Pelodiscus sinensis: one gene and its partners. The protein of the gene in region 1 interacts with the protein of each later gene in a pairwise test. Links are inferred from orthologs where the notes say so. Each region holds a gene or a part of one and is shown on either strand. Other genes may lie near its edges. The genes, in order: RGS2, WDR74 and CTSB.

Region 1 (3,746 bases):
AAAAACCAACCCCCTTCATTATACAGTTTCTCTCCAGATCTGAATTCTAGTATGTTAACCTTTAGACTGGAGTAAATATTTACAACAAAGCTATAAACCTTTGGAAGACATTTGCAATGGAAAGAGTGACTCAAAGTTCATTATCAGCAAATGCTAATATTTTTTTCTTAATCAGCAATTAAGTGGTTTTCTTTGCAGAGTGGCTATAAAACCCACAGAGCCTCAAGTCCACAGTGGCTTAATGTGAATATGTTTAATAGCACTAGAAGGAGGATTTGTCTTGGAGAGAATTATTAAGTGCAGAAAAATCTTTGATAAAGATTTTAGGAAGTGGGATTTTGGGTTGTTTAAAATAGAAGTGTTGGAGACCAATATCAAGGTGAATGCAGGAGGTTATTCAAAGGGTAATTTATAATACGGATGGAAAACCACTGTTTGTTCTTATCTGAGGTAGTGTTTATTATTACAAAAACCCACAAAGACCAAAACACCTTTATATTTTTACAGTGATTTGTTATTTTTTTTTCAGACTGACTTACATTTATTAGCTAGAAGTTCATCAAAAGCTTCTGACCAAAGCTGGGCTTCTTCAGGAGAAGGTCTATATAAAAGGATGGAGAGTATAGTTAGGTTGTTGAACAGCACATTTTTCTACTCCCTTGAATGCTAAAATATTTGAAATTCATTTGAGTGAAATCTGAATATTTAATTTACCTGATGTAAGAATGTTGCTTTCCTTTTTTGTTGGACTTGGTTTTTGTAGAAGTGGAAGAGTTTTGCAGGAAGTAGCTCAACCTTGTTTTCCAATCCTTAATGCTAGAGGAGAGAGGAAGAGAGGAAAATACATTAAAATGAGAGTTAACTGAAATTATACTTTCAGCTTTACACATTTTGACTAGAGATGGAACTGAGCCTGTAATCCATAAAGAGAATGAAAAATTGCTCTTGTAGTTGATGGTAGTTGTGCCTGCTTAATTGTGGGATCAACCCTCAACTCTTTAAGTTCTATTTCAAGAACATGGGATTCAATCTTTCTGTCTCAGACAACCGTAGTTTCCCCACTGCACTGATGGAGCACTTGAGATCACACAGCCACTGGAAAGTGACTAATTATAACTAAGGCATCTGTAACAGTTTCACAATCAGAGGTGTGCTGCTCTGACGAAGGACCTACGCTCTTCCCCTAAGGCCCAATCCTGTGGTCTGTCCTCAGTGGGTGTTTTAGCAGATTGAAAACTTGGGATGGGGGCCTCTGGTGCTCAGATATTTAACCCTCTTCATTTGGAGATTTAATCTCTTCTTGTTGGATTTTTGGAAGAGACAAAAACTGGATCTGCGAGATTTAAAAATGTCTTTTCAGTGCGGCAGCTAGTCTAGTTTAGGGCCATGTGGTGAATGTGGATCAGGTGAGACTAAACTCCACAAGAACTGCAGCACAATTGTCTCCATTAGCCTCTATGTGAAACTGGGAATTGAAGACTAATTTATCCCTTACATTTTAAATATCATGTCTTATCCAGGCAATGCAAACTGAATATTCATTATAGATCTAATAATGTAAGATATTCAAGATCTGTTTTTGCTTTGGCAAGAAGCAAACTCAGTTAAATTTTAAAAGTCAAATGACAGAACCATTTAAAGACACCAATCAAATGTAAAATTGCACAGCTAGCTGGGTAAATAATGAATGGGGGAAATATGTGCTTACATTTTCACCACACAAGCATAAACTGAAATAAACCATTTCTGCACAAACCCTACATTTTTTCTGAACTGACGATGACAGTTATATTTTTTATCAAATGATCAGTTCAACAAAAACAGGATTTTTTTTTCTCATGAGTGCTTTTGAAGTGGAGATATTTTGCCATTTTAAAAATCCAAGCTGACATCAAATACATAAATCAACCCATTCTTGCACTGCTTAGGTATTGCACCCAAAGTCATTTTTAAAAAGTCAGTGCTGTCAGATTCTTACCAAATAGTGTAAACATTTTCTCCTTACTGAGATGCAAGCTCCCTATTTTGAATCACTGTTCTGAAAGCCACAGGTAGCTATTTATATGAATTAAATCTGCTATAAATACATAAACTTACACAGTTCTCTTCATCTTTCCTTTCTTCTCCTCATTTTGACAGCTGCTGGGAGTTCTCTCCATTTGTCCACAGTTGTGCTGAAGAGCAAGGAAGATTGCACTTTGCATACTTCTTCTGTTTTATCCCAGGGTCTATCGCTGATCTGCAGCAGCACCCTTTTCTTCACTGAGAAGTTGAACGTGAAGAGAAAGGCAGCCTTTTTTTATAGAAGGCAGTAGGGGAAAGGGTTGGGTTTCGGTTACGCCTCCTGAGCACACTGATTTGCTTGTGGGAAGCACACCAAAGCACACTCCCATATCACGTCCTTAAAAGGCTCTTACTCTGAGTACAGTGCTGACGCAGTGTTCTCTTCTGTTTTATGCAGTCTCCACTTGCAAAAAAACCTGGTCTGGTTGCTGCAGATTCCAGCAAGATGGAGAATTTTTTTTATTTGTTGCCTGCTGCATGTGTCTTCACAAAGCTTGAGTGCCCTGCACATTTGAAGGCAGAAGTGCAGAATCACTTGTTGGTTTATAATCCAACATGGAAAGAAAAACAATAGGAATAGCGTTAAGGGTCCTAGCTGTGCTCTTTAAAAATTTACCCTTACCTCCTATCCTTCTAAAGGAAAATATACCTTGAATTTCTATTTGTGGATTAATATGTTAACAATATAATAATGCTAACAAAATAAGATGTGTTATTGCACTCTCCAGAATCTTCAAGTAATCTGGAATTGTCCCAACTGTTCTACAATTGATTTAAAAAATGCTAACTAAGATAAGCAATGTCTCATATTTCTCATCAGCTTATGTTTGTGTCTGGGAAGGAGAGGATATACCAGGATCACTGCTGAATCATCTGTATTCCTAACATTATTCAGTTGGAACTAAAAGATTACTGTACCCCTGATGCAAAAAGTTTTGCACTTGGAAATGTTTGTACAATTGGTATTTGTTCTCATGCTAATACTGCCTGGAAGTTCTTTATGGAATCCCAGTGGCTTGGCAGAGGTAGCGGCTAATTTTCTGTAGTACTGAGTGAAGGTTAGGTGACAGCGTTATGTTCAGTTCAACACATTAGAAATTCATTTTTAACAAGCCCATATGCTAAAACTGTTTTTGCTTTCCAAGAAGCCAGTTCTTTTGAGTTTGCATCTTATTAAAAGAATAGAGAAGGGTTCTAAGGCCTGGTTCAGATACCCTTACAAAAGAAAGATGTGAAAAGTTGGAGTGTACAATACATGGGAGATTTTATCTCAGTGATAACTTGAAATATTTTTTTCATACTCATAAGCATGACAAAACATATATGTGTAAGCCGTGCCTGCATACTGTGGCACTCTGTCCCCCACTAGTAGCGTCAAGGCCAACTACAGCTTGATGAGCCTGCTATAGCCTTGGCTCACAAACCTGGAATTTTTAGTTCACGCAGTAGAGGGCCAGGCTCTGGTATTAAGATCCAGAGGTCTCAGCTTCCACTAGCATAGGAATGAGTGCCATACATACATAGCAAGCCTTGCTTCCATATATTTTCGTAACTCAGCCATTTGCCAATAAATTGTGCATATTAGTGCTAGTGCATGTACTCATTTATCTGAATGCCTCTTCCTTTAGCTAAAATGTAAGCATGTATGTGGTACCTTCTGCACTGTGTTAAGCAGTAGAGGG
Region 2 (3,746 bases), on another chromosome or scaffold:
TCTTCCAGGGCATGGGTGCCTAGTGGGAAGGGGAGGCAAAGGGGCTCCCCCACCCCCAGACCAATCATGGTCTGGAAGTGAGGTAGTCCCATCCCTTCTCATTTAGGCCCCACCCCTTCCAGGGTGGCCCGGGGCTATTTCAAAATTTTTTGAAGTGGCCCTTGGGGCAAAAATTATTGCCCACCCCTGCCCAATCAGGTGAGCCGGGGGCACCAGAGGTTATTAGCTATCAGGTTACAAACCTTCCCATCACCTGAATATCCCTCCTTCCAGTACCCCTGCCCCTCCAATTTCTGCCCCTCGAACTAATCTGCCTCCCCTCCCTGCTCCCCCACCTTCTGCACCTCATGCCATGACCCCCCATCCACACCCCAATTCTGATTGCTCCAATTCTCTTCCTTCCATTCCCCCAATCATCCCGCCCCATCTGCCCAGCCCCCCTAACTCCTCCAGACCCCAATCCCACATCCTTCCATCCCCCTGCTCCACAACCCCATACCTATTTCTTTTCCCAACCATCATCCTGCACCTTCATTTCCCCATCATTTCAGGTCCCCCGCTTTCCAGTCCCTCTCATACACCAGTCTGCTCACCTCTCCCACTGCCTGCTCCCCAGACCCTGATCCCTTTCCCACCCCAACCCAGTTCACAAACTCATCACCTCCCAAGTTCCTCCACAGACCCAAATTCCCCTACCGATAGACTCCTCCAGACTCTAATCCTCCCTTCTGCACACCCCACTCCCTCCATTGCACCCCAATACAACCATCAGGCTCCTACCTGGTGATGCCCAGTGCAGGTGACAATCTTCTCAGAGCCAGGTAGAAACTGCAGGTCACGCTCCCAGACAGGAACCCGGAGACTGAGCCAGTCATTCCGCACCTGCAAAGAGGGCAAGTTGGGTGTAAGTGGAACCACAATGCCTATATTTGACTTGCTCTCAAATGTCCCAAGAAGGCGCTGGGCTATGAGCAAGGGCGGGAGATGAAATGCAAATCTTACCAGATTTGGGAAGGATGGAGAGATAAAGTGTACTGTAGGGCACAGATTCAGGACTGGGGAACAATGGGGGAGGGGTGAGAACAGATTCTCCCTCAAGAAACAGGATATAGACCTGTCTCCCCAGGAACAGCCAAGCCTGGGTATGGTTGGGGCTCTCTAGGCCAGAGGAAGCATGGCTAGAGCACAAGGAAGTAGGGTGTACATCTGAGGCAGACACTTACATTTTTAGCACGGAAGATGGGTTCCTCCGGCCGCTGCAGGTCCCAGACCTTCAGGGCATTTTCCTTCCCACCTGTCCCCACACGCTGCGGGTGAACCGGGTTTTGGCGCATACGGCACACCCCAGCTCCAACCTGTGTTTCTACCTAAACGGGGTAGCAATGAGGAAGGATTTATATTACTCCAAATGTGGCGATCCTGGCAGGACTGAGCTGCACTGCCCTATGACGAGAGGGAAGTGCAATCAGGAACTGTCCCCACACATCTTGACTCCCTTGGATTACTGTGCAAGGAAACAAGTGTTGGTGCTAATCCGACCTCGGATTCCTCCCTAACACAGCACCCACTGCCACCAACCCAGCATCCCTTGCCCTGCATCTTTCCCCATAAAAGTCTTACATTTTCAGATGAGGCATCTCTCCAGACCTTGAGGAGACCAGACTCCACACAGGTGATGAAGGAACTGCAGGTACCAGCCAAATGATGGTGGGAGAGGGAGAAAATCCAAGTAGTGACAGAAAGAAATAAAACATTGTCAATTTTCAACATAGGCCCAGGCCACACTCATTGCTATAATTAGGGGGCTAGACAGATGGTCCGACAAACTGTGAATTGGTGTCACAAAGGAAACTGAATTCCCTGGTGAAAAAAAATTAAAGAAATGCTTTTTCCCTTTTACAGGCATGTATTCCTGTGTGGGAGCAGGGCAGAGTAAATCTCTAATTGAGCCTTTCAACAGCAGCTGCTGTAAAACATGACAGCAGACTACATGTGTCCGTTTTGGTCTGTCCCAAAGGTAGATGTGTATATGCATATTGTGATGTGAGGGTCAATGGGCTCCAGGATCTATTTTGTGGGTGGCAGAGTGCAGGTGAATAACCTATTCCAAGAGATTGATGCATGACATTCAAGGTTATATCTGTGGGTCCGCAGAAAGGGAAGAGAGACTGGGGGATAGAGACTGAGTCCCAGAAGGGGAGGATTGTGAGAGATTTGGATTTAGATAGGACCAATATCAGGAAGGGATGGATACAATCTGGAGTTAAATGGGCCCACAGTTCTGATAAGGAACTGAAAACAGACACAGTGGAATAAGGGGGCAGCTGCTGGGTTCATGGTGCAAGACCCACTTGTCGTGCACTGCCAGACCGCAGAAGGCGCCTTCCCCGCCCAGACATTGCCGCGACTCTGTGAACTTCCCCTTCTCGGTGCTGAACAGCTTCACCGACCGGTCCAGGCAGCCGATGAGAATCTAGAGGAGGATGAGAAGGAGAAGTGTCAGGGGCGCCCCGGGCTGCTGCTGCTGCTCCTCCCCCCCCCCCCCCGCCACAAACCCCTCACCTCGGACTCGGATGGGTCCCCCCAGCACATGGCGCAGACTCCCTCTTCCCGGCTAAGCGCCGAAGCCGCCACATAATTAGTAGCCTGTCTCCGCCGCAGATTGACGCCTGGGAGAGAGACGGGACGTGGTCACAGCCGGGGACGGGACAAGCTCCCGCCCCATCACGCCCTCTCCCCCCGATACCTTTCAGGATCCCGGTCTCGGATCCGACCCACACGTGATTCCACCGCGCAGGAGACGCCATTTTGCCCCGGTGCCTCGCTCTATCCGCTCCGGCTCGCACCCTCCAGCCAGTTCTGGTGCGCCGGCGTGGGCGAGAAAAGATCGGAAGTGGTGCGAGGCCGGCCCTCTTACAGAGACACGCCAAAAGCCGGATGTTGGTTAGCCTGTCAGGTCAGGCCGAAGCCGCTTCCGGTTCGTCGTGTCACACCGAACCCTTTCCTTCCCTAGTCCCATTTGGAACGTTCCCCTCTCCCCACAGATTTCGACTGCTGCCAGAGCAGATGCTGTGAGCTCTTCGCCCCTCCCCTCAGTGGGGAGCCATATTCCCTCTACTTTTTCGTGTCAGTTTGCAGAATAAATTTTATGTGCACTAAGGCATGCATGGAGGTGCACCACCATATAAACACATGCTGTTAGCCCTGGGTGCTCTGTTAATCAGCTGGGCAGCACCTGAATCTCTCCTGGGCAGCTGCCCAAGTGCTTAGCTTACAGGGAACACTACTAGAGAGAGATCCCCATCTCTGTCCCCACAGCAGCAGGAGGATCATCATGGTAAGGGACCAGACCAGGGGCTGAGGCCAGAGTTGGGCTGGGGGAACTCCCATTCACATGACAGTCACAGCTCAAAGTAATAGTCGTGAAAGATGCTTAGTGACAAGGAGCAGTAAGTTGCAATGACACATCCCAATCAGGAACCCTGGTCATGGGCACAGCTGAGAATTTGAAAACAGAGAGCAGAAAGAGCCCATTACAAGTCACTGGTTTTGTTGGCTGTTTATAGTCTAACCTCATCAAGGTAGGGACTGGCTCTTGCTGTACATCTGCCCAGAGGATTCAGTCTCTGCAAAGCCTAATCAGAGAGAGGCCCTAATCTTGGGATCTATGCACCACCACACACAAGGGGACCCTGATTTCACTTGAAACACAAGACAGAACTATGTAGCACTTGAAAGACTAACAA
Region 3 (3,746 bases), on another chromosome or scaffold:
TTTAATCCAGCCCACGGAGTCCAAAGGCACATGAGGGTGCAGTGTGGCATTGCTGTGAAACCCAGCCAGCTGAGTCCAGGGACATATGAGGGGGTCAGCTTGTGAGTGCTGAGTACCCAGTCCTCTCAGACGTGCTCTGACTAGTGTGTGTGAGTGTCTGTGTGTGTTGCCAAGGTGGGAAGAACCCCGTCCTGAGGAACCTAGTTCCTGCAGGAGAGCTCCAGTGGGAGGGGGAATTGGCAGCAGGGAGAATTCAGCTCCATATGAGAGCCCAAGTAAGCACCAACAGCACACTGATAGAACTGTTAACCTTCCCCCAGTCCCATAAGGGTATCCCTGATAAATGAGCATACCCCAGAGTATTGGGCAAATCTGATAACAGGAAGGAGGTGCTGGAGTTAGGGTTGAAAGGGCCACAGAGCAGGGGTTGGGGCCAACAGGGCACCATCCAGGAGTTCAGGGGGCCAAGGGAGGTGGGCTGCCCGTAGGAGCCAGAGCCAGTGGAGGGTACCAATGGGGCTAGGGTACAGGGGCATCGCTGCACCCCCAGGAGTCAGGGCACCAACATCCGAGCGTACCGGGGGCGAGTTGCCGAAGGCCGGCCCAACACTGCGCGATGTGGCAACGCCCCAGGCGACCCACCGCATCAGTGACTGTCAGATGCCCGGCTGTGCTCGGGACTGTCTCAGGGCATGCAAGCCGGGGCCGGCTCTGGCCTGGGGGGCAGGCAGGGGAGATGGGCTGCGGTGGGGACCCAGGGCTGCAAGACTCAATGGGAACTTGCTCCTGGCCTGGGGCAAAGGCAAGGCGGGGGCCTGGGAAATGGGGTAACAGCGGGGGCACTGCATCAACCACAGCCAGGCCCGCTGCGGGGCTTGGAGAGGGGGCAGGTGGGGGGGGGGTAGCTGGGATGCACCATTGCAGGGCCTAGAGGGGGGGTAGTGGGGGGTGCAGGGACACACCATTGCGGGGCCCCGGGGGGGGTGCAGGGACGCACCATTGCGGGGCCCCGGGGGGGGGGGTGCAGGGACGCACCATTGCGGAGTCTGGGGGGGTGCAGGGACGCACCATTGCGGGGCCCCGGGGGGGGGGGTGCAGGGACGCACCATTGCGGGGCCCCGGGGGGGGGTGCAGGGACGCACCATTGCGGGGCCCCGGGGGGGGGGGGTGCAGGGACGCACCATTGCGGGGCCCTGGGGGGGTACAGGGACGCATCATTGCGGAGTCTGGGGGGGTGCAGGGACGCACCATTGCGGAGTCTGGGGGGGTGCAGGGACGCACCATTGCGGGGCCCCGGGGGGGGGTGCAGGGACGCACCATTGCGGGGCCCTGGGGGGGTACAGGGACGCACCATTGCGGGGCCCGCGGGGGGGTGCAGGGACACACCATTGCGGAGTCTGGGGGGGGTGCAGGGACGCACCATTGCGGGGCCCCGGGGGGGGGTGCAGGGATGCAGCCTTAGGGCAGCTGGCAGCTGACGCGCCCCGCAGAGCTCGGGCAGTGGCCGCCGTCATATGACTCGCGGGGGGGGGGGGGGGGGTACGGTCACATGACTCGGCGGGGGGGGGCAATCACATGACCGAGCCTGCTGCGGGGTCAGGCGCTGCTGCAGCGGGAGGAGTCGGGGCTGAGTCAGCGCCGGGCGGGGCGGCTCATAAGGAGCCGGGCGGCGGCGCGGGGCGGCGGAGCGAGGGGCTCGGATCGGGTGAGGGGCGGCCGGTCACCGGGGAGCTGGGGCAGAAGGGGGGGCTCTGGGGGGGGCGCTGGGGCAGAAGGGGGGGGCTCTGGGGGGGCCGAGCTGGGGCAGAAGGGGGGCCCTGGGGGGGCGCTGGGGCAGAAGGGGGGGTCCTGGGGGGGCCGAGCTGGGGCAGAAGGGGGGCCCTGGGGGGGCGCTGGGGCAGAAGGGGGGCTCTGGGGGGCGCTGGGGCAGAAGGGGGGCCCTGGGGGGGCGCTGGGGCAGAAGGGGGGGCTCTGGGGGGCGCTGGGGCAGAAGGGGGGCCCTGGGGGGGGCGCTGGGGCAGAAGGGGGGCCCTGGGGGGGGCGCTGGGGCAGAAGGGGGGCCCTGGGGGGGGGAGCTGGGGCAGAAGGGGGGCCCTGGGGGATCTGGGGCCGAGCGGGGGGCTGTGGGGTTCCTGGGCTGGCCGTGGGGGATGGGGTTGGGGGGGAGACCCAGTGGGGGAGGGGGCAGGAGAGAGCTGCTGGGGCGGGGGGGGGGGGGAGATGTTTGGAAGTGGCGGAGGGGTGGGGAAAACCCCTCTCCTGTCCCTCCCTCTCCCAGGTGGGAAAAGCCCAGAGCCTGGGGAAGTCGGCTCAGATTGTGCCCCCCCCCCCCCCTGCCAGGAAATGCGAGGGGGGGGGGGGTTGGCGCAGGCCTGGCCTCTCACCACCTCTTCCTTTTTCCAGCTGATCTGCGAATCCGGATCCCCGCCGGTGTCCAGGCAGTGTCTGCGGCGCTGGAGTCGCCCCTCTGCTCCGGAGCCTGCATAACCGCTTCCCGGCGCTGAGCTCAGAGGTACGGCCCAGCCTGTGTTGTGGTTACGGGAGGCGACTTTCTCACAGCAGGCTTGATGGGTGGCTGGGGACGTGCCGCACAAAGTCATTCCCCTCGCGAGTTCGGTGTTGGCCTGTGGCAGGGTTTTCCGGGGGTTTTTAGGAGCAGCTCTCGGCCAAAAAGCAATTCTGTGTCCTGCCAGCGAACTGCAGCCTCATGGGCTTGTAGAACTGAAATTCTGGATATAGGAGTCAAATTCTTATCTCTGCTGGGCACGTCTGGGGTGACCTTGGGCCTGTCCCTTTGAGCCTGCTTCTCGGAGTTACCGAGTAGCTGCAGTGCTCTTCTAGGGGATCCAGCATCTCAGCCCACCTCCTCACAGGAATTTTGGCTCCAAATTTGCATTAATTTCAATGGGAGTGTGACATCTAAAAACCTTGCAGGGGAGGGGGACCTTGGCCACATCCCGAGCTTGCAGGGACACCGTGTGATGTGTGTTATGAATTCTGATTCTGGAGGGACCAGCGCCATGTGACTAGGTTGTGGATGGGCAGGGAGTAAGTTCGGATGCCTCCTAAATTTGCAAACTGGGCAGCCCAAGGAAGAGGAAATGTAGGGAGCGGAATTTATGGGTTTTTTTTTTTTAATTCGGTGGCCTTCAGTTAGATTCCTCTGTTTTGAGTGTTGTTTTCTGGCAGCAAGATGGTGGAAAGATCAATAAACTAAACCCAAAACTGCAGCAGCAGAAACTTCCAGAGTGAAACTCCAGCAATGAATCCCCCCCCTCTAGTGTGGCTTCTGAAAATCTTACCCTGTAAAAAGGAACATTTGGTATTAGTAAAAAAATCATAAGAGCTGTACCTGATTGTTTTTGCTGAGGTTGATACTGGCCGAGCGCCTTGCTTATAAATGCAACCCGCTCCTTTTGGTGCTCACACGCGAAGCTGTCCTTTTGGAAGGAACCTGAGGAGAGTGGTTCCCATGGTAGCTGAACCTGCTTCTGCCGGGCGGGGCTCTGCTAGCCTCGCCCAGGAGGGTGCTGCTTCCAAACCAAAGTCCCCTCTTGTGTGTGGTCACTTGACCTTCTGCTCCTTGTCCCGTATCCAAATCTAGCAGCCTGACCGAACTGCCCGTCTCCCCCGTTGCTAAATATCAGTGCTGCTTGTAAAGCAGGGTGGAAGTCCACTTTCCAGTCTGGTGCAGTAAAACCCGGTTCCAATTTGGAGACTCCACTCTGGCAGATACTGGTTATCTT

What was found.
Region 2: the proteins of RGS2 (region 1) and WDR74 interact in a two-hybrid assay, tested with the Homo sapiens proteins (2 studies listed by BioGRID and IntAct). The link is inferred for Pelodiscus sinensis from reciprocal best matches to the Homo sapiens genes RGS2 and WDR74.
Region 3: the proteins of RGS2 (region 1) and CTSB interact in a two-hybrid assay, tested with the Homo sapiens proteins (2 studies listed by BioGRID and IntAct). The link is inferred for Pelodiscus sinensis from reciprocal best matches to the Homo sapiens genes RGS2 and CTSB.

What each region holds. Positions count from the first base shown.
Region 1 is NC_134719.1:50,075,208-50,078,953, forward strand, and holds the start of RGS2 (regulator of G-protein signaling 2), read right to left. Parts: upstream 2,314-3,746; 5' UTR 2,205-2,313; coding exon 2,098-2,204; intron 817-2,097; coding exon 715-816; intron 602-714; coding exon 540-601; intron 1-539. UniProt on the Homo sapiens protein: Regulates G protein-coupled receptor signaling cascades. Inhibits signal transduction by increasing the GTPase activity of G protein alpha subunits, thereby driving them into their inactive GDP-bound form.
Region 2 is NC_134721.1:36,469,483-36,473,228, forward strand, and holds the start of WDR74 (WD repeat-containing protein 74), read right to left. Parts: upstream 2,906-3,746; 5' UTR 2,808-2,905; coding exon 2,747-2,807; intron 2,670-2,746; coding exon 2,563-2,669; intron 2,474-2,562; coding exon 2,352-2,473; intron 1,685-2,351; coding exon 1,621-1,684; intron 1,368-1,620; coding exon 1,224-1,367; intron 883-1,223; coding exon 781-882; intron 1-780. UniProt on the Homo sapiens protein: Regulatory protein of the MTREX-exosome complex involved in the synthesis of the 60S ribosomal subunit. Participates in an early cleavage of the pre-rRNA processing pathway in cooperation with NVL.
Region 3 is NC_134713.1:2,339,016-2,342,761, forward strand, and holds the start of CTSB (cathepsin B), read left to right. Parts: upstream 1-1,552; 5' UTR 1,553-1,705; intron 1,706-2,403; 5' UTR 2,404-2,512; intron 2,513-3,746. UniProt on the Homo sapiens protein: Thiol protease which is believed to participate in intracellular degradation and turnover of proteins. Cleaves matrix extracellular phosphoglycoprotein MEPE. Involved in the solubilization of cross-linked TG/thyroglobulin in the thyroid follicle lumen.